Drosophila melanogaster: one gene and its partners. The protein of the gene in region 1 interacts with the protein of each later gene in a pairwise test. Each region holds a gene or a part of one and is shown in the gene's direction. Other genes may lie near its edges.

What was found.
Region 2: the proteins of Pus7 (region 1) and Ntmt interact in a two-hybrid assay, tested with the Drosophila melanogaster proteins (one large-scale study listed by BioGRID).
Region 3: the proteins of Pus7 (region 1) and Fbxo42 interact in a two-hybrid assay, tested with the Drosophila melanogaster proteins (one large-scale study listed by BioGRID).

What each region holds. Positions count from the first base shown.
Region 1 is NT_037436.4:8,507,488-8,514,600, forward strand, and holds Pus7 (pseudouridine synthase 7), read left to right. Parts: upstream 1-2,515; 5' UTR 2,516-2,597; coding exon 2,598-2,716; intron 2,717-2,776; coding exon 2,777-2,964; intron 2,965-3,025; coding exon 3,026-3,397; intron 3,398-3,452; coding exon 3,453-3,555; intron 3,556-3,614; coding exon 3,615-5,037; 3' UTR 5,038-5,520; downstream 5,521-7,113. Other genes in the region: ZC3H3, read right to left, coding at 111-494, 553-748, 846-1,391, 1,490-2,157; CG6683 (uncharacterized protein), read right to left, coding at 6,709-7,113.
Region 2 is NT_033778.4:9,863,362-9,868,978, forward strand, and holds Ntmt (N-terminal methyltransferase), read left to right. Parts: upstream 1-2,270; 5' UTR 2,271-2,342; coding exon 2,343-3,173; 3' UTR 3,174-3,690; downstream 3,691-5,617. Other genes in the region: CG30010 (uncharacterized protein), read left to right, coding at 456-602, 656-1,156; peo (pendolino), read right to left, coding at 1,229-1,708, 1,763-1,866, 1,929-1,993, 2,063-2,148. UniProt on the Drosophila melanogaster protein: Alpha-N-methyltransferase that methylates the N-terminus of target proteins containing the N-terminal motif [Ala/Pro/Ser]-Pro-Lys when the initiator Met is cleaved.
Region 3 is NT_033778.4:22,172,505-22,179,355, forward strand, and holds Fbxo42 (F-box protein 42), read left to right. Parts: upstream 1-2,417; 5' UTR 2,418-2,632; coding exon 2,633-2,813; exon of another isoform or gene 2,814-2,821; intron 2,822-2,871; coding exon 2,872-4,253; intron 4,254-4,310; coding exon 4,311-4,751; 3' UTR 4,752-4,924; downstream 4,925-6,851. Other genes in the region: a (arc), read left to right, coding at 1-23; CG3045 (uncharacterized protein), read right to left, coding at 370-446, 503-1,063, 1,122-1,607, 1,664-1,755, 1,812-2,095; CG11170 (uncharacterized protein), read right to left, coding at 4,937-5,983.

The sequences.
Region 1 (7,113 bases):
TAAAACTTGAAAATAAGCTACTAAAGATAAATCTTAGACTAAACGTTAAAACAATACTTAACCGAATTAATTTGTACCTGAAACGTTGGGTCCATAGCCTTCGCATAGCCTTATAGCTTTTCTTCGCCACCTAAGGGAATAAAAGAGGGTAGAGTTCCCAGTTGAGGACGTCGTCGAGGGCAAGGGGCACCCGCTTCCTTCTGATCCTCATCCTCCGCTTCAGGTTTCTTCTGTTCCACATCATCTCTAGTCAATATTGCTTCCGCTGGTTCCTTGTGGGACCCAAAGTAGCGTGAACTGGTGGGCAACTCATCCGCTGTAGACGATTCTTTCGCGGTATCCGTGAAGGCGACAGGTTTACTGCCCAGTTTGGGACGCGACTTGACTTTGGCCAATCGCTTTGATGGCGACTTCTTACAGAACACGCACCTGGGTAATTCGCACTTGCCCTTGCGCTCCAACTCGGGACAGGAAAACTCGTGACGTTTGTTGCACTTAAAATGTTTTGGAGTTAATAGGTTTTCAATGAAAATAAGTGGCAGACCTATTTACCTCGGCAGCCAACGGACAGTAGCCGCGCACAAAGTCAATACAAATCTCGGTCTTGCTGCTCAGCTTCTTGTGTAGGTACGGGCAATCCTCGCGAACGCAAACGCCGCGCAAATAGTACCGACAGACGGGCATCTTCTCCAGCGTGACATTATGGGACAGCAGGCATTTGGGTTTGGTGCACTCCCCGCGCAGAAAGCTGCAAGTAAATGATTTCAAAAAGATAACCGCATTGCGAATTTCGAACATTGGACGCCATCGAAGGTTTAGCACTCTTCGCTTGGCCAAGGACAAACCTGACACAGATGGCAACCTGCCGCTTGTCGTGCAGCTTGCGGCACTTGCCACGACTATGGGCAACGCACTTGCCCAGCTTCTGGAAGATGGCACAAGGCACATTGGTCTTCACCAACGATTTGTTGAGCAACGTCAGGCTTCTCTGTTTGGCGGTGATTAAATGGGCTCGCGACACGTGATTACTGGTGCGTACAAAGACATTCAGTGCCTTTGGCGAAGCAACGTAGGTAAGGCCGCCGATATCGATGCGCCTCAGGATGCTACGATTTACGCTACTCTGGGTAGCACCAGTTGATGAGGTTGAAACTCTGGTCAGGCGGCAGCCGGAAGGATCTAAAATGAACTTATTGCCGCTGACGAAGAGCGTTCTGCCGGACAAGGTACGCTGCAAGGTCCTGGGACTCTCCGATTTGGCTACCCTAGCGGAGGAACTGGCATCCAGCTTGGTTATTTTGTTCTTCGATATCTTCTTGTACATCACACCGTGTATGCTGACCATGCTCAGGGATTTGTTAACGCCCAGCTTCAGCGCCTGCGGCTTGGAGCTGTAATAAAAGTTAAGTTAGTTGATGTACATTACCTTGTCTAACAGAGTCGCCTGTTGCTTGACTATTTTCAACTGCTCGTATCCGATTTTCATTACCTCAGTTTTCTGTTGGGCTGCGCTTCATTGGTGCGTCTCAGGGCGTACTGGCCCACAAACTCGCGTAGAGGACGACGCTTTTTGACCAGCGGTGTGCAGGTAAGTGATATGGAACGCACTAATTTGTACCTAGTGCGTTTAGCAGGTGGAGGAGGATGGAGGGCAGCAACCGCTGGCGCTGCTTTCAATGCTCCTTGCCTCACAATTTTCCGCTTGGAAATGCTTACCAATGGAGGCTGCACCAGGCTGGAAACAGTGGGCACAGGTACTGAAGCAGCGAGCTTCACCGCCGGACCACTTGCCACCACTGATGGCTTGCGCACGAGACACGTGCTCACTTTGCTGATGATCTTGGCGGGCGGAGGAGGTGGAGTCGCCAGTAGGTGTATCGTTGGATCCAGTCGATAGTGCGAGGCGGAAACTTGTTGCATCATAAGCTGCTCCTGCTGCTCCCGCTGGTATTGGTCGTACATGGCCCGCTGGCGATTCAGAAAGTGCGGATTGATATGGATCGCGGGCTGAGGCTGCAGTGGCGCCTGGAACGCCTGGAAGGGCACTTGGAACGGCAGCTGATGCGCCGTTTGACCTTGCAGCTGAAAATTCGGATTGATGTACACCTTTCGCGACATAGACGGCTGTGCCTCGTCGGCACTTATATGCGGCAACATTTCGTTGCTTCCTTGGCTTAACCTAATGAATTAATCCGTTCCAATTTTTGGTTATTTCTCAATTTTTACACTTCTTTCCAATGCTTCTTTGTATTGCACATTTTCTTTACATTACGTACGCAGTGTGAACTTGATCTGGGACCAGAAAAATACCAAAAAATACTGAAGTATAAATGAGGAAAATATACTAACAAAAGTTTTATGATATGTTAATATTAAGCATGTTTTTAAATTATATTTATCATACAATATAAAAAAAGAGGAATATTTGCGGATGAACTTATGCTAACAACCATTTAAGAAATCTATTTCCCGAATAAATGGCACATGCGGCCACCCTAATAAACCTAAAAAGCTTATTGTGAATGGGCACATCATATGTTGTGCAAAACGTGGATTTCATTTGCCGACAAATTTTCAAACGCGAATTTTGAACCAAGATGGGCAAGGATCGGGGCAGAGGACGTAGGAATAACCATTCCGGGCCATACAACAAGAGCAACTGGCGTGGTCAGAAGAAGGATCGCCCCCAAAACAATGGTGGCGGTCAGCGCAACAGGTACAAATTAAATCCCATAAATAATATCGTTGTTAACCGGCGTTTTTCGTTGGACAAAAGTGCTCCACAACAGAAATCCACGCTGCTGGAGACCCAAGTGGGCATTACGGAGTTCACTAACCCGGAGGCACCTGGCTTCACGGGAATACTTAAGTCTCGCTTCTCTGATTTTCACGTGAACGAGATTGATAGCAATGGAAAGGTTCTGGAACTGAACGATCTCAGTGTGCCTAAAGTGGCTATTGTGGGTCTGTATTCACCAATTATCCTGCATACTTGCTTATGCTCATGCATCTCATACTATAACAGCTGTGGCCGAAAACGAACTGGACAACTGGCGGAAAGAACTGGAGGCAGTAATCGGCCCGGAAGTTTGGCAGGATATAGCCAATCTGGCTAAGGCCAAAAACGATCCCGCGATCGAGCAAAAGGTGGAGATTGATGTGACCACTCTGGATAAGGAGCAGCGAACACAAGTCCACCAGATGATAAAACAGCTTTACAAGGGCAAGCTACTGTCCACAACCATTGGACAGCAGCAGGCTAAGCCGAAGGTCCAGGAGGAGGCATCTTTGGAAAATAAGGATGCGGCTGAAGGTGAAACCTCAACCCAGAAAGACTCACAGGTGCCGGCAGAGGAGAAGAAGACTATAAAAGTATTTAAACCAAAGCCAGGACGCGGTTAGTAGAAATGATTACCCAGGGAATTCCTTTTTTTATGCATCGAATTCCATAGGTGACAAACGCTGGAGCTTTCCGGCGGATTACGTGACCTTCCTGGTGCACAAAACCAATTTGGTTACCAGCGATGTGGCCTCTACTTTAGCAGCGCGACTGAAGTAAGTTTGATCAAATTTTAAATGCTTTAATATACTAAGAAAACATTATTTTTCTACAGCTTACGACCATCGCAGGTGAACTACAGCGGCATCAAGGACAAGCGGGCCAAAACCACCCAGAAGTTCTCCGTCAAGCGTCGTACACCAGAGAGCATTTTGGTTGCAGCTCGCTCCCAACGGAATGTTCATATCGGCAACTTTGGATTCGAATCCAATACACTGAAGCTAGGCGATTTGCAGGGCAATCGTTTTCGTATTGCCTTGCGACACATTGCCAAGGAGAAGCGAGAAGAAATCGAGCAGGCACTGCAATCATTGAAGGAACGCGGCTTCATCAACTACTATGGCTTGCAGCGGTTCGGCAACAGCGCCAGTGTCCCAACCTATGAGGTGGGTGTTGCTCTGCTCAAGCACGATTACAAACTGGCCTGCGAACTGATCCTGAAACCCCGGGACTCGGATGTGGAGTTTTTGCGTCCCATACGCGAGGAGTGGTGGAAAAATCGCGACTCCGCGGCGGCAGCTGCACAGATCTACGGCGAAAAGTTCATCGAAAAGAAGCTGCTGGACGGCTTGGCCAGATTTGGTGAATCAGATTACTCATCAGCTCTGCGGCAGATACCACGCAACATGCTCATGCTATATCCACATGCTTACCAAAGCCTGATCTTCAACAGGATAGCGTCTAGACGAATTAAGGAGTTCGGCTTGAAATTGATACCCGGGGATTTGGTTTATGTGGAGCAGGATCAGTCGGAAGCCTCGGAAGAGCAGGCGCAGCAGGGCGAGGCCTTGGAAGAGCAAAAAGAAGAGGAGCCTAACGATGAACCTCTGGAAGTCCCCGAAGGGGATGAAGCCATCGAAGAGGAGTCGATTTTCAAGCGAAAGGTTCGCCCGCTCACAGCAGAAGACATCGCTAGCGGCAAGTACAAACTTTGCGATGTGGTCCTTCCCCTGCCTGGACACGACATCACCTATCCCAGCAACGAGTGCGGCGCGTGGTACGAGGAAATGCTCGCCGAAGTGGGTCTTTCCTCGGATCAACTGAAGCACAAGGAGAAGACATACGCATTGGCTGGCGCCTACCGCAAGATGATCATATCGTCCAGTGATCTCAAGTGGAGCTTTAGAATGTACAATACGCCGGAGGATACACTTATCGCCTCCGACTGGGAGCTATTGAAGAACATTCCGGTTGCACCAGAACCAGCTGAAGCTGAGGCCAATTACATGGCACTCCTGCTGGAGTTCTCGCTGCCCACGGCTGCCTATGCCACCATGTTTTTGCGAGAACTCTTAAAGCAGGACACATCGTCAGCATCGCAAACGCAGTTGGAGAAACAGGCAATGGCTAAGGAGGACAATGAAAAGAAGGCGGTAGGAACCCAGGAGGAACAAATGGAGGTGGTAAAGGAGGTGGCCGACGAGGATGGGCAGGAAACTGAGCAGGCGGAAACTCAGGGGGCCGAGGAGGCGGTGTAGGCCAAGTGAGATACCGAAAATCAATATGCTCAGGAAATCAATTTTACGCGCGCTTCGTATCCAACTTCGAACCAACCACAACAATAACAATGCGCACGTGAGGACGAGGGCTGCTCCCTCTCTCTCTCTCTCTCACTGTCGCATCCCGTGGCTCGCACCCCGTCAATCTCAATCGCTCTCTCTCTCTCTCTCTCTCTCGCCTGGGAGAGTCCTTTTGGTCCTGTTTCTTTGACTGCGATTTTATTCGTTCGGTGGCCACCAACGCGAAAGCTCAAGCGACGCGCTGCGCAGTTTCCCCAGCTCAAAAGTCCAAGTCGCACGGTTTTCCCCAGCGTTCTCAATGAAGAGCAATAACAAATTATTAATTGACAACAAATAACGAACAAGCACGGTCCCCCAAAAATCCACGGACTCCATCCAATTCATCCAGTGATTTAAAGAGATTTTAAACCAAATAAAAAAACCAAGAGGCGAGACAAGGTGAATTTCCAGTTAAATGTAGCATTTAAACGTTTTGGGCGCGTACTTTGAAAATCCATTTATTAAGGCGTAAGTATACATTCGAGTCTACAAATTGTTTATAACTTTTACGACAACACTGAACTAAACAATCACAGAACTGTACAATATTTGATTTTGGCTCTGGCAGCCTATTGATTTTTGTTGTGTGCTTGTGCTGGAAATCAATCGATAATACGGTGTTAATACCAAGAGCTGAGTCCGGGGATTGGGAATGGGAATGGTCTAGTGGGTAGGTGGCTGGCCGTAGGAGTAGTTGGTTCATATAGTGGCTTAGTGCGTCGGAGGGTTCACCATGTACGTGTGAAGTAAGGGGGACTCAGTCGGTACGAGGGGGTAGTGGTAGTGTGGCATCAGTCGTTAAGGGTGCACGACGCTCCTCGCTCGTTATGTTTTTGTTTCGGCCCACTGCTCCCCCTGCGGCAGTCGTCAAATTAATAAACTAAATGCTTGTTTTGGCGTCGTCGTCGCCCTGTCCCCGTGCTGGAGGCCTTCCCCCGATCCGATCCAGACATGGATATTGGACATGTTATTGCTTGCGCGCGCATTCTTTGACTCTTTGACCAGTTCCCAGCAGCAGCTGCGTCATAGTAGGAGTTTTTTGGCGTGGCTCAATTCGATTTTCCCTCGCCTACTCCACCTGCTCCCCGCCCGCCTGTTCAAAGTTGGCTTTTGCCACACAGATAGCTTCCTACTGCATTACTATACACTCCCGCAAGTCTCTGGCTCTATAAATGACCTCTGGCGACAATTGATGCTTTGTTTGGGGTTTACCAGTTGTCTTGAATTTTAAATTGCTAATCTTAAGCCTCAAATAAAATAAACTATTTAATCACAGGCGTGTTAATGTTTTATCATATCATACAATGCAATAGTTAGTTTGTATAGTAAACTTCATTAGATGCGAAGATTAGGTTAAATGAATGGATTAACAATATTTTTTAGGGAAGCATACATTTGGAAAAAGAAGTTATTTAGTATTCGCTTAAGATAATTGTCCAGATATATAAACTATAACAAAAATGACTTAATTATTAAACAATTATATGATCAGTGATGTTTGCTACTTTTGATATCCTATCACGGCATGTATGTATTTAACTTATCATCATGGCAATCTTCCTTTATAACTATATCATCTTGGCAATCTTCCTAAATAACTATATCATCGATTTGCTCGTCGTTCAGGGCGCGCAGATTGCATTTGCATAGGTAGGCCAGAATGCGTTTCTCCGCCTTAATTCGGTTTGCTTCGCCCAGTCCTTCAAGCAGGGCTTCTATCCTCTTTTCTGCTTGAGCCACTGGCGTTGCATGGGCAGGATTTGTGGGTGGTGCTGGTGCAGCTCCCGCAACGGCCAGCTGCTCATCCATGGCCTCCTGGAGCGGATCCTCATCATCGTTGACCTCGTCGCTGGATTTCAGTGTGCTCCTACTCAGATCACCCGAATTTCGGTGATTAATCGGATGGTGGTGATGCTGCAGGAATTTCAAATGCGGCAGAAGACTCCAATCGGAGCCAGTGCCTCCGGCCTTTTCTTTGGCCAGCTCCCGACGCTG
Region 2 (5,617 bases), on another chromosome or scaffold:
AAAATATAAAATATTGCAAATGAAATAATTATTATTTTCAAAATTATTTATAATTTTGCACGATTTACTACTAATTAAACCAAACTGTGTTTTAAATTTTTAACGGATATTTCATTAAATAAAAGCTTAGCATACTTTTTGGTAGTTTTCACTTTGCTATTTTAAGCAAAACCTGAGCTTTTCGACCAAATGTCGAATTCAATAGACAGTCACATAGCCACCTTTTTTTAAATAAAATGTTTTCATTTCTGTATATCGCTGTATTCGCGATGCAAAAATATGTGACTGCCAAAAAATGTACTTGCAAAAATAATCGCTACCTATTGAGAAAATACAAAACTGTAAAAACGTTAAATTGATAATGGGAGGTTATCAAATGCACCTACAGATGTAGTAAACAAAAGTCAGCTGTTTTTGTTGCTCATAAGAAGACACAGTACTCAGATAGAGGAACAATGTTTATACTACGTTCTAGATCCCTTACAAACCTAAAATTCGTTAGATCTCCAAGCATATCTTGCCGTTACGTACAATATAACCAAGGTCAATCTCCGGAGCCAAAAATTCGCGAATACTTTTACTATATCGATCATGAGGGAATGGTGAGACTCTCAACTATGCATCTGTGCTTCAACTCGCATAACCCGTTTTGCAGCTCTTCCTGGACGATGCAAAGATGAAAAACTTCACCAGCTGCTTTAAGGAGAAGGATTTCCTCAAGTTCTTTTTCAACCGACTGCGGCTAAACAAAACGAGCAGATATGAAAGCGAATTTCCATACATTTCCCTCTGTGGCCGCGAAAGGAATTTTATTAGGTGCGATGACACACCTGTTGTGTTTACTGAACAGCTGAGGAAGGACGATACGGAGGTGCTCAGCTATGCACACGCGGGACAGGTCCTTACCCTGCCTTACGAACCCCACAAACTGTACATGGATCCGCGAAACGGAAGGGTCTATCATCCAGCTGCGCCACAGGTGGGCGGAATAGGCCTAGTCCGCTCCAAACTGGCCATCGAGCTCAGCCAGCACTTTGAGTTTCTCGCTGGCGAGGCTTCCCCCACACATTTCCAATGGAACGGAGAACGTTTAGAGTTGCAGAACGAGTGGGTTAACAATACTCAGCGATTTCCCATGAACGAGGATTGTAAATAATTGAATAACTTTAATCGTTTTAAAATTGAGACAACGATAGAATATAACTTACAGAATATATGTATATTGGTTTTACTCAATGCTAAGTGGCTTAAACTCGCCCTCCTTAACCCATGACAGACCAGTTGCATGTCCACCATTTGCTTGTTGCGCTGAAGGCTCCGTCAGCTTGCTTCTTCCGGCCTTGATGCGCTCCAGAACGGGCCCGTGCACGTCCTGCTGGAACTTCTCGAATACTATGTAGTGCGGATCTTCGGTGGGTGGGGTGTCAAATATATGCTCCTTGCTCTCCTTGATATTTTCCTGTACGCGAGCAACATACTCCTCCTTGTTATTCATCAGCAGCTCCGCAGCCTCGCTGTTTTTGAGCTTATCTACCTCAATGCCCCGAATACTGTCCAAGGGATCGGAGAAAATGACTTGCAGGTACTTTAAAAGCTGCCAAAGGTGATCCTCTCCACAGCGCCACTCCGGGAAGGCGTGGCTCACGTCCAAACTGTGGGTGTACGGGCACACATGGGGATGAATCACATCCTGCTGGAAAATTATGCTCTAAAGGGGACTTGTAGAGTTAAATACGTTTGCTCTATTGCCGATCCTACTCACCGGAAGACTTTTGTCGTCGGGAAAACGATCTGGGAGCAAAATTGTGAATCGAAAAACACTTTCCGCATACAAGCCCTGTCGGCCAAAGAAGACTCCAAACCACTCTATTAACAAAAGATAAAATTAGCTAAAGACTGCATACAGGTTGGCAGGTGGGTAGACTAACGCAAGGAGTTAGCATAGCTGGGTATCACATATATCCCACTCAACTTCTCCGACTCAATCATTTTGCTAAAACATAAGAAATTAAATAAGTTTAGTTTTACTCCACGTAGTTATCAGTGAACTCTGAAAACTCACTATTCGGCCAGAATTTTATACTCCTGCTGTATGGTTGTGATCAGCAACTTGTCATCTTTCTTATGCGCATCCAAATCGAGAGTCATTTTGTCCGGACAATAGAAAAATTAAACAAAAAACTAGTAACATAAACAAACGGACAATTTTGTTGCTTGTTGAACAGCTGATTGGTGAAGGGTTGCCACTCTTTCGTAAAACCTAAATGGCTCACTGTGTTTAGGAGCCCTGGTTATCGCACTAAAACAAAACAAAGCATGCGGCCTTCGAAATCCTGACAAAAATGACGACTACATTAGAAGAGCAGCTTTCAGACAAGTTGCAGATGATGGACGAGACCACGGATAAGGTCCAGGGGTCGTCGAAGCAGAAGGATGATAGCAGTATAGCCGCAAGTTCAGATGCCAAGACAGCGTCCCCTTCTTCGAGCGATAGTTCGACCAAAGTCGCCGCACCGGAGTCCGAATTTTACAATAAGGCACAAAAATATTGGTCTGAGGTACCGGCGACTGTTAACGGGATGCTCGGCGGCCTGGGCTACATTAGTGCCATAGATATACAGGGATCGAATGTGTTCCTGCGCGAGATCCGCGTGCCGGGCAACAGGTTGGCCCTCGACTGCGGAGCTGGCATTGGTCGGGTGACTCGGAATCTCCTGATCCCCCGCTTCAGCTGCGTGGATCTTGTCGAGCAGGATCCCGCGTTTGCCGATAAAGCACGGGAGTACTGCACTTCGGAAGACGGAAGCCGTGGAAAGGTGGGACAGATCTATAACGTGGGATTGCAGAAGTTTACGCCTACGCAACAGTACGACCTCGTTTGGACCCAGTGGGTCCTGGGCCATCTCACGGACCGCGATCTGGTCTCGTTCTTTCGACGCATAAAGCAGGGACTGGCGCCCGGCGCCTTCTTGTGTCTGAAGGAGAACGTGAGCAGCTCGAAGAAGACAGTGGAAGATAGGAACGACTCGTCGGTAACGAGGCCTCTGGACAGCTATGAACACTTCCTAAAGGAAGCCGGATTTCGCATTGTACGCAAGGTCAAGCAACAAAACTTTCCCAAGGGACTCTTTCCAGTGTACATGATAGCCTGCAAACCCGTCTCCAAGGAATAGGTTTAGTATTTAGTTAGTTTTACTGTTGACCTACAAGCGATTGTACTAAAGTTATCCGAAAAATTTAATGTCACATTACTAGCTAGTCACTTCAAATTGTAGCGTTCTAATCAACGAATAAACAAGCTTACAAAAGCTTGAACACGTTCCTTAATTGATGCCTTCAAAGTGCTTTATTCACGGGATATAAACAAGAAAAACACAATTATTACTAAATTATGTTTACACAAAAATAATATTTTTATCAACCACGCGACCTCGCAATAGTATAGAATGCCAACAAATTCGTTAGTAGTAGAAAAATCTGCTTCCTTAAGTCCCCATTTGCCAATTTTAAATTAATTCTCATAGTGCTATTAGCAATTCTCTTTTCTCAATTCAAATGGATTTCCTTATCTCCATAAATGTTAGTCTTGAAGATCTGGCGACAGCGGATTGATCATAAGCTCAATCTTTTGCCTGGAAACAAGATTACTTGAAAAGTTTTTTAGGTATATAATTACGTCAAAAAGAAAATTACAATTAAAATATATAATTACGTCAAAAATAAAATTCAAATAAAGGGAGAATTTGGGGCATAACAAATATTTTCAGAAGGATATTAAAAATCCTAAGGACAAAACTTAAACATGCAAAAGTTGATAAAAAGTTTGTAAATGAGTTTCTTTATTATTATTACTATTTTTGCATTTAGGAATTAAGAGCCATATTCAGTTCTTTTCCAAATTTTTACGTTGGGTTCAGAAACTATTTTTAAAAGCATACTTTTAAAGAGGCTGCAAACTAAGCATATGTCTGCATTCGTTGAGTTGATATTTCAAACTGCATTTTTATTTCATTGTTCAAGCTTATATAGCTAAAATGAAATTCACATGTTCTAATATTATAAATGGCTTAGACCAACGTAGTGGTGGTCCTCACCATGAGAAAAGATGTGAGTTTCCACTTTTCTATATGCTATAAGAACGTATCTTATTTAACGAATAAGCGTTGTTACTTTTTAAGTATAGGCAGACCAATGTTTTGACAATACAATTGCTGAAGCGGTTCAATCGCTTTACCTACAATATATATGTATATACATACATATATACTCTAATATATTCTTGTTCGTGTGACATTGGCAAAGTTGTTTTCCTCTAAGAACAAACGTTATTTATCCCTTAACGATTGCGCTTTCAAGCCGAGAGCCCTTTCCACATTGCTACACAAACTCAAGTGTTGCAGTTCTGAGCTTCTCAGTTCAGTTATTCAGCTGAAGGGCTCAAATCGCAAAGTGTCGAAATAAAAGTAATCCAGGAAATTTTTTGAGGGAGAATCTTACATGTGCAAAATTACTGAGACAATTGTGACTGTATCAAAGTATCCGTTCATATCTTATGTAAATGAATCGAGAGCGATAATTTATATTTAGGATTTTGTTATCTAAGGCGACATGGGTGCAGTGCTCAAAATCATGTGCACACCACATGAGTCAGTCACTTGAGATCGTTCCCCGCCTCCTAAAATAGTCCCTTAGTGGGAGACCACAGATAAGGTCCTCGCCGCTCAATATAGGCAGATGAGCCGGAGGGTGGGACCTTGATAAGGCGGGGACTATTTACTTAGGCCTCTGCGAAGGCCATTTACTTTAAGATGTGATTCTCATGTCATCTATTTAAACCGAAGATATTTCCAAATAAAAGCAGTTTTCTTACAAAAACTCAACGAGTAAAGTCTTCTCATTTGGGATTTTACAGTATCTGAAAGGAAAAAGGATGCGAATCCGAACATATAAAGTATACACATGTATATTCTTGATCGGGATTAAGAGCGAAGTCAATCCAACCACGTTCGTCTGTTTGTCCGGACCTATTCGGGCTGAAATGTTGGAATCAAACATGGAGATTCTAGTGACACCTAGCTCATCAATTTTTTTCATTGCACGCCATAACGGCAACAAAACGCTAAAAGCTGTGAACTGGCAACTTATAAAAAAAAGGTATTTTTTTTAAATATTTGGGCTACGCCTACTCTAACGTCAAGAAATTTCAAAACCTCGTAGGGAAATACAAACTATTTCTTATACATATATTGCAGTTATTCAGTCAAACATCAGAGCGTCGAAGCTATTATTGAAACTGTCGCTAGATGGCGCACATGGGTCACATGTGTCTCCATCTCCCTTGCACTACCTTGCAACGACTAACGGGTATCTGATAGTCGAAAAGGTGCAAAATTGAAAAGATGTGCGCAAGTATTTAAATAGCTGCGTGAAATCTCTGTACAGCAATTCATTTTGGTAATCAAATAAAAAATATAATAATTTTTCAAAGATTTTTAATGACTTTTAATTGACTTCAGGATGATAAGAGAGTTCATAAAGGCAAGCAAATATTCTGAATTTGGCGCAAGAGAATTGTATGTATTATAATAACGTCATCTTCATCATTAAATTCGAATTT
Region 3 (6,851 bases), on another chromosome or scaffold:
AAGCTAAATCGATGGGTTGCTAGTGCTAGTTAATGCCCGTATTTGACTTATTCCCATGGTAATACATAATTATGGACAACCTGCATCGTTTAACCAAGTTAAATGGTAGCTTCTCTAATTAAGTGAAGCCTTTTTTGTAATCGTACAAAGCCCCTTGCAAGAACTATACTTATACACAGACTCTATTTAGAAACTAGAATCCCAAATAGTATGTAAAGAATTGTATGGAGTTACAATTTTAAATTATTTACCCATTCTAGACTAGGCTAAGGTTCGAAACGTTGTACAAGTTCTATTTACATACAACCTTAATATATTTACCTGAAAAGCAATATACGTTTTGTTTCAATGACATTATATTAAAATAAATCACTCTGTTTCCGTTTCATTCTTCACAATCAGTCGTTGCTTTTTTACAAAATGCTCTATCCGGTTCTCCAAACTCTCTGGAAAAAATGATTGATTTTAGTAAACAAAAAATAAGTGTGCATTCAATACATACCACATCGTTTGCGTTCTAAAAGAGGCTGATATTGACGCGGATTGACGGAATCTTGCAACAGGATTACCTGAGCCAGTACCTTCTCTTTTGGCTTAAAATTCTCTTCAAATAAGTTTTCCAATTGTTGCAGCACATTGCGTATCATGGTGCTCTTAACGCTAAATTGCGTCCACTCACACTGGGTGTTTTCAATAAGCTTTTGTAGATTTTCCTCATTGTAAATCCACGCTGTAAGATCACGCTCCAAGTGCTCCGGAGCATTTAAGTCATTTGATTCGTCGGCGGCTGTATCCATGGCTTCTTCGTCTGCATCACCGCTGCTTGGATGGTTTACACTTCTTGTTGTGTGGTCTCGAAAGTCGCAACGAAACAGATTTAAGGGCAATCCAATTGCGGGGGTGTACTGAGGCTTGCAGGGATTAGACTCCACATCAAGCAGGTCACTTATTACGCCCGGGTTTTCCTTTTTTTGGCCAACAAGTAAAAGCACCGCCATTATGCAACGGATTTGGTGCCAAAGGAAGGCATTTGCTTGAATCTCCAGGTAGTACATGTCGTAGCCTGTGGAATATGGCGCTTTATAATCTTTTAGAACTAAAGCTTTTGCTCAGGAACAAACCTGAATTTGTATGATTTGTCTGATCACAAGCTTCCACCCTGGCAGATTGCAAGTTTCTCATGTAGTTGGTTACTCCGTTGTGCACGTCCATTTTGCAGAAATTACGGAAGTCGGCGTGACGCACTAGGAGATCACAGGCTTTACGCATGGCAGCAATGTCCAGGTCACCCTTAGGAAAGTAGTAACGATAGGTGCGGGAAACGCAATCAAATCGAGCGCTATAAACCGGACTGCGCAGTGGCATCCAAGCCACGCACTGAATGTTCTTGGGCAGCACTCGATTCAGGAGTCCACAGTAGTCAATCTCGGAGGAAAGCGCTGTGGGATCCAGCTGGGATTCGGGCGGATGCTTGCTGCGCAGATCTATGGAGATAACCTGGCAGAAGGCGCTCACCTCCTTGTCTGTGCGTCCACAGCGGTGATAATTGGAAGTGGCGCGAGATTCGATGAGGCAGGTACGAGCTAGAGCGCGGAACAAGTTGGATTCTGTGGCAAAGCAAAAGATTTAGCAAAAATCTATAAGATTTGTGTTCAGAACCTACCGATAGTATCATTGGAATCCTCCTGGCAGGCAAATCCTTGATAATCCCAACCAAAGTAGGTAATCTTAAGCAAGACATGACGCTTGTGTGCACTGAAAAAATTGAATCATGGAGCTTGATCCAATCTGGAAATGGTTCCACAACATACCTGCTCCAATCGAACTTACGTATCTTCTGCACTTTGCTGGATGTCTTGGCCACCTGGCTAACTTTGCCCTCCGCTTCGTTTCCAATTAATCCAGAGTATTCCTTATCATGTTTATCTTTCTCGCTTAACTTTTTCTGCAGCAGATTCCGCAACTGAAAGTTATAGGCCTCCAGTTGGATAACCTTGTCGATCAGCTCGGTTTGAGTCAGTTTTTCAAGTGCCTCTCGGCTTAAGCCTTTTAATCGTTTATTTATCACAACTTTTTTGTCATTTGTTGCACTCATTTTGGCGGTTAATGAGAAATAAACAATTTAAAAGCAACACGTGAAATTACTTTGGCTTTTGCCATTCGCTACGAAACGCGCACAACAGAGATGAGCAAGCTTTGCTAATAGCGCAAATCCACTGGATGTTGCATGTTGTTTGTTGTATGAAAAAGCTGTTTGGCAATTTGAACAATAAAGTAGGCGAATTTACTTGATTTCACGTATTTTGAAAAATAAAACCTTTATTAATAATCTGTCATTCCAAAGTTGATCAGAAATAAATATATGATATGAAGCCTGTAATTTTGGTATTTTTATTGTGACCATTTGTATGTTTCTGACTTCAGCACGGTCACACTGTTCGCAGCTACTGTTTATGTTATAATTTATTTTTGTTGTATAAAAACCCGAAAATCATCTGGAGTTCAAGCCAGCATATAAGTTCAGCGACTTAAAATCATTCGCTGCCTATTGCTGCTTCTGTGGTGCAGCATCCGAGGGTGAAGCACACCACGAAAGCCACGAAGAAAGGGGGCAGCAAGGACATCACAAAGGATGGACGCGAGCAGATACAAGGTCGACGGCGAGAACGACAATTGCGGGGCGACCTTGGCCGCTGTAAATCTGAATGTCCTTCCCGATGAGATACTGGAGTTCATATTCACCTACCTGCCACCCTACGGCGACTTGGAGCACTGCAGCCTGGTGTGCAAGCGATGGCACGCCATTGTGAAGAGTGGGCATCTGGAAAGTGCGAATATAATACAACTTAACTAACTTCTTATCCTTTGCAGACCTTGTGCGTCGTTCCAGACACAATCTCGAGAAGGGCCTCATCGACTTTCGACTGCGCTGGGAGGTGTTTTCCCAGCAGACAGTCAATGGCGGGGCAGGAGCACTATTATCCTTTATTGCCGGAAGATTTGCTCATTCGGCTGTGCGGCAAGACAACTCCATGTACGTATTCGGCGGTGGATCCTCGTCGGACACCACCTTCAACGATCTGTGGCGCTTTGATTTGACGCACATGCGGTGGGCGCGGCCAGTGGCCACAGGAACCTATCCCTCGCCCAAGGGCAGTGCATCAATGGTGGCGTGGCGGAACCAGCTGATACTCTTTGGCGGATGGCGATACCCCTCGCTACATCCGCCCTACCAACCATGGTGCTTATTTGACGAGCTGCACTACTACGATCTTGGAAAGAACCGTTGGCTGCTGCGAAGCTCCCTATCTTCCCCACCACCGATGGCTGGACACTCGGCCACGGTACATGGCGATCGGATGGTAGTTTTTGGTGGTTACCAGATCAAAGACGATTTCAATGTGAACTCGAACGACACATGGGTACTGGATCTGCCGGAGCAGCGCTGGTGGCAGCCGCTCTTTGTGGGCAACACGCGACCCAGTCCGCGATACGGACAAATACAGGTGGAGTTGGGAAGGAACCATCTGCTGATCGTGGGAGGATGTGGCGGTGCCAATCGCGTGTACACTGATGCCTGGCTGCTGGACATGACCAGGGATGTATGGAGCTGGAAGTCTATTGCTGTGCGCAACAAGCGCTTTGGAGCCGTCCACATGTGGTGCAATCCCGGTTGCAAGGTCAACAACTACCTGGTGGTCGTGGGCCCATCGCCCAACATGCCGCAGGACTTCCAAATGATGAAGCAAAGCAGAGTCCCCGTCGTTGGAGGCCGTGGACCTCCGCCGCCGAATCCTCTTCAAAATGTACCTCCAAGGGGATACCGGATACCAGTTCCGGATCGTCGACTAGGTGGAGGTGGATTGGGTGGACCTGGCCAAAATCGCGGAGGAAACATCCGTCCTGGAGTGGGAGGTGCAGCAGCTGCACTGGGTCCTCAAGAACAGTATTTGGCTAACCGGAGAGCAATTCTTAATCAACACATGCAGCAAGCGCAGCAATTCCTGCACAACAGCAATGTGAACAATAATAACAATAATTACCAACCGCGCTCGGGAAGATTGAGTGATCTGCATGCCCCGCCAGCTGCGGCTGCAGCTGCTTCTCCTCCATCCCCGCCAGTGCGACCAAATGCTCCGCCATCTCCCGCCGACGGCGATGTGGATGCCGCACAGCGTTTGCAAAGAAATTTAGCTCTAAGGTGTCGTGATAATGAACCTAGGCTACCAAAACGTTTCGATGAGCTCTATGAGGTGAGTGATTTTAAGTGCGCCTATCATGGACCTCTTATTTATTTCCTGTTTCAAAAGGATCCCTTTCGAATGGCCGCCTTCAATGTGCCCACACGATCGCGGAGTGCTTCGCGGGATCACAACGAGCGAATACGACGCATGGAGGAGAAGATGAACGCCATTCGCAATTCGCGACGCAGCGCACCGGCGGCCGCCCAAGTGGAACCACAACCGCTGCGCGCACCCTCGCCCAAACGATTGCGCTGCAATGTGCAATCCCTGTTCGTGTGTGACATCTCCGGCATTTTGGACAGCAGCGAACCCGCCCTCGAGTGGGTGGAATACAAAAACTTCGGAGTGCTTAAGGGTGCTCCGGATCGGCTAATCCTCTCGAGCCTCATTGCTGGCAACGGCGAGCTCATCCTCTTCGGGGGCGTGCACAAGGAGACACTAACGGACATCACACATCATGTGTCCAATTCCATACACTTCCTGAGTGTGCCACGTGATATTATCTAAGCTCTGAACCGACGCCCGTCCTAGTCCAACGTTACGCGGATAGCACTTTGTTGCTGGTAACCCCACTTCCCAAATCCTTCAAAGTTCGGCGTAAGAGGTTCATTTAGGCATTAAATTGAGTGTAATGAAGAATATGTTTTATGATTATAAACGATTATTTACTAGTGGATCTCCAACGATTGGCTTTAATTATTGCTTTCCAGCACTTTTATTAGGTCGTAAGCATGTTGGAAACGCATATCACAGAAGTCATCTTGGCATGCTACACACTGCTCCAGGAGCAGCTGCAGCTTTTCGTTGTCCAAATTCTTAAGCAAGTAATCCCTTAGCAAAAGGCACGCCTGGTAGATATTGGCATCCAGCTGATGGCCGGAGCAGAATGCAGAGACATCAAATGTGAATCCCTCGCCGGTCAGCGGCTCGTACTTTTCGGCATGTCCTGCTGCGAACGAAGCGTCCACCAGGACCACGGAGTCCAAATCAATGAGGTACACCTTCTTGGTGTCTTCGTCGTAAGCCAAATTATCGGCCGTGAAATCGGTTAAGATAATGCGAAAGTCCGCGAATCCAAAAGTCAGCTTGAGGGAGAGCTGGATCAACTGGAGAGCCAGCTCCACACGCAAACCTTCTTCAGCATCGACGTAATGAGCTAAAGTACGTCCTGCATTGGATTGAAAATGTGTTAGTCCGCAGGAGGCGTAGGTGGTAGGCACTGGAAATCCCTGCAGATGCAGTTCCTGCATAAGCAGCGGACTAACGTAGTACATCATGTAGAACCACACACTGGCGGCAGCATGTCCACGCTGCTCCAAGTACGAAACAAAGCGGGGTTCCCTTGCCAGAGTTCGGCAGAGATGAAAACCACCAGGTCGCTCCTCTAGTTCATAGAAATCTTTTTTCACATTTTTTATCTGATTACTCTGTGCATCAATGATTTTTCTTTTGGCCACCAGCTGGACTTCCTGATCCCGGTCTTTTAGCCTTAGAAAGTAAATCGCTCGGCGATCAACGAGCAACGAAATGGCTTTCACAAGTCTACTCCAATCCGAGGGCTCTGCAATTTTCTGGAAGATTTCCCCGCACGGCTCACTCTGTCCAACGAAACAGTCTGGACACAAGCGCAGATCCTTCTCGAAAAGTTCCTGGAACACCTCTCGCTGCGGCTTCACCTGCAGCTCCTGCAGCAGGGCCAAAATGAGCACCACTTTCAGTTGGCCGTGTGACAGGTGCATCACAGGGAGCTGCAAAGAGACGGAAGAGAAACGAATGAAGGGGCTTGCCAAACAACAGAAGAAGCCACACGTGTGTGTATCCAAAGAAATGTGCGTGAGGGCCCAGCCTCCAGTCCACTGGCCACATTACCTGTTTGGCAGCTACACGCCAAAAGTGAACCTAAGCACCGAGCCAAAGAGGCAGCTGGTTATGACCGCTTAACGAAGCGTCTATACCCTTTCGCTACATTTAGTTTAATTTGCTATTAAGCTGTATGTATTTTAAGTATGGAATTTCCCTTTTTACTAGTTCCTAAAAGCAATACCAAATGCTTCCATTTATTCTATTATATTTTTTAAGCACGTCTAAGTTATAGATCTTTAATTTAGTCATGATGACAGCTGATTAGATTATGATACCACTATCGCTTTTATCACACCAGCTTCTGGGCTCATGCCGAAATGGTTATCCCACAAGGTCCGAAGAGTATGGCGTCGGGGGGACGGACTTACAGAAATAACTTTGGTTCTGAAGAAGAGCCAATTCAATGGGTTCAAGGTTGGCCATCACGCTGGGAGCAAGAAGCGAATCAGACGCTTAATTTGTAATCTCTGCAGAGGTGGGAGAGTAGCCATTATGGCGATACCAGTCGCATCCTCCAAGACGCACTCCATCTCGCCTTGCCCTGTACTTCAAAATTAAGTGTGCCCAGAATGGACTTGCTCTGTGGCTCATTCTTTGGCGACGACGAGGAGCATAATGACTCGGCTAAAGATTCAGCACCATTGCCCACGACTTCGCCAGTGCCTCAGACTATCAAAAGAAAATCGCGTGTAAGATTTAGCCGCAGCACCATACGAAAACTCCAACTCAACGAACTGGAACAGT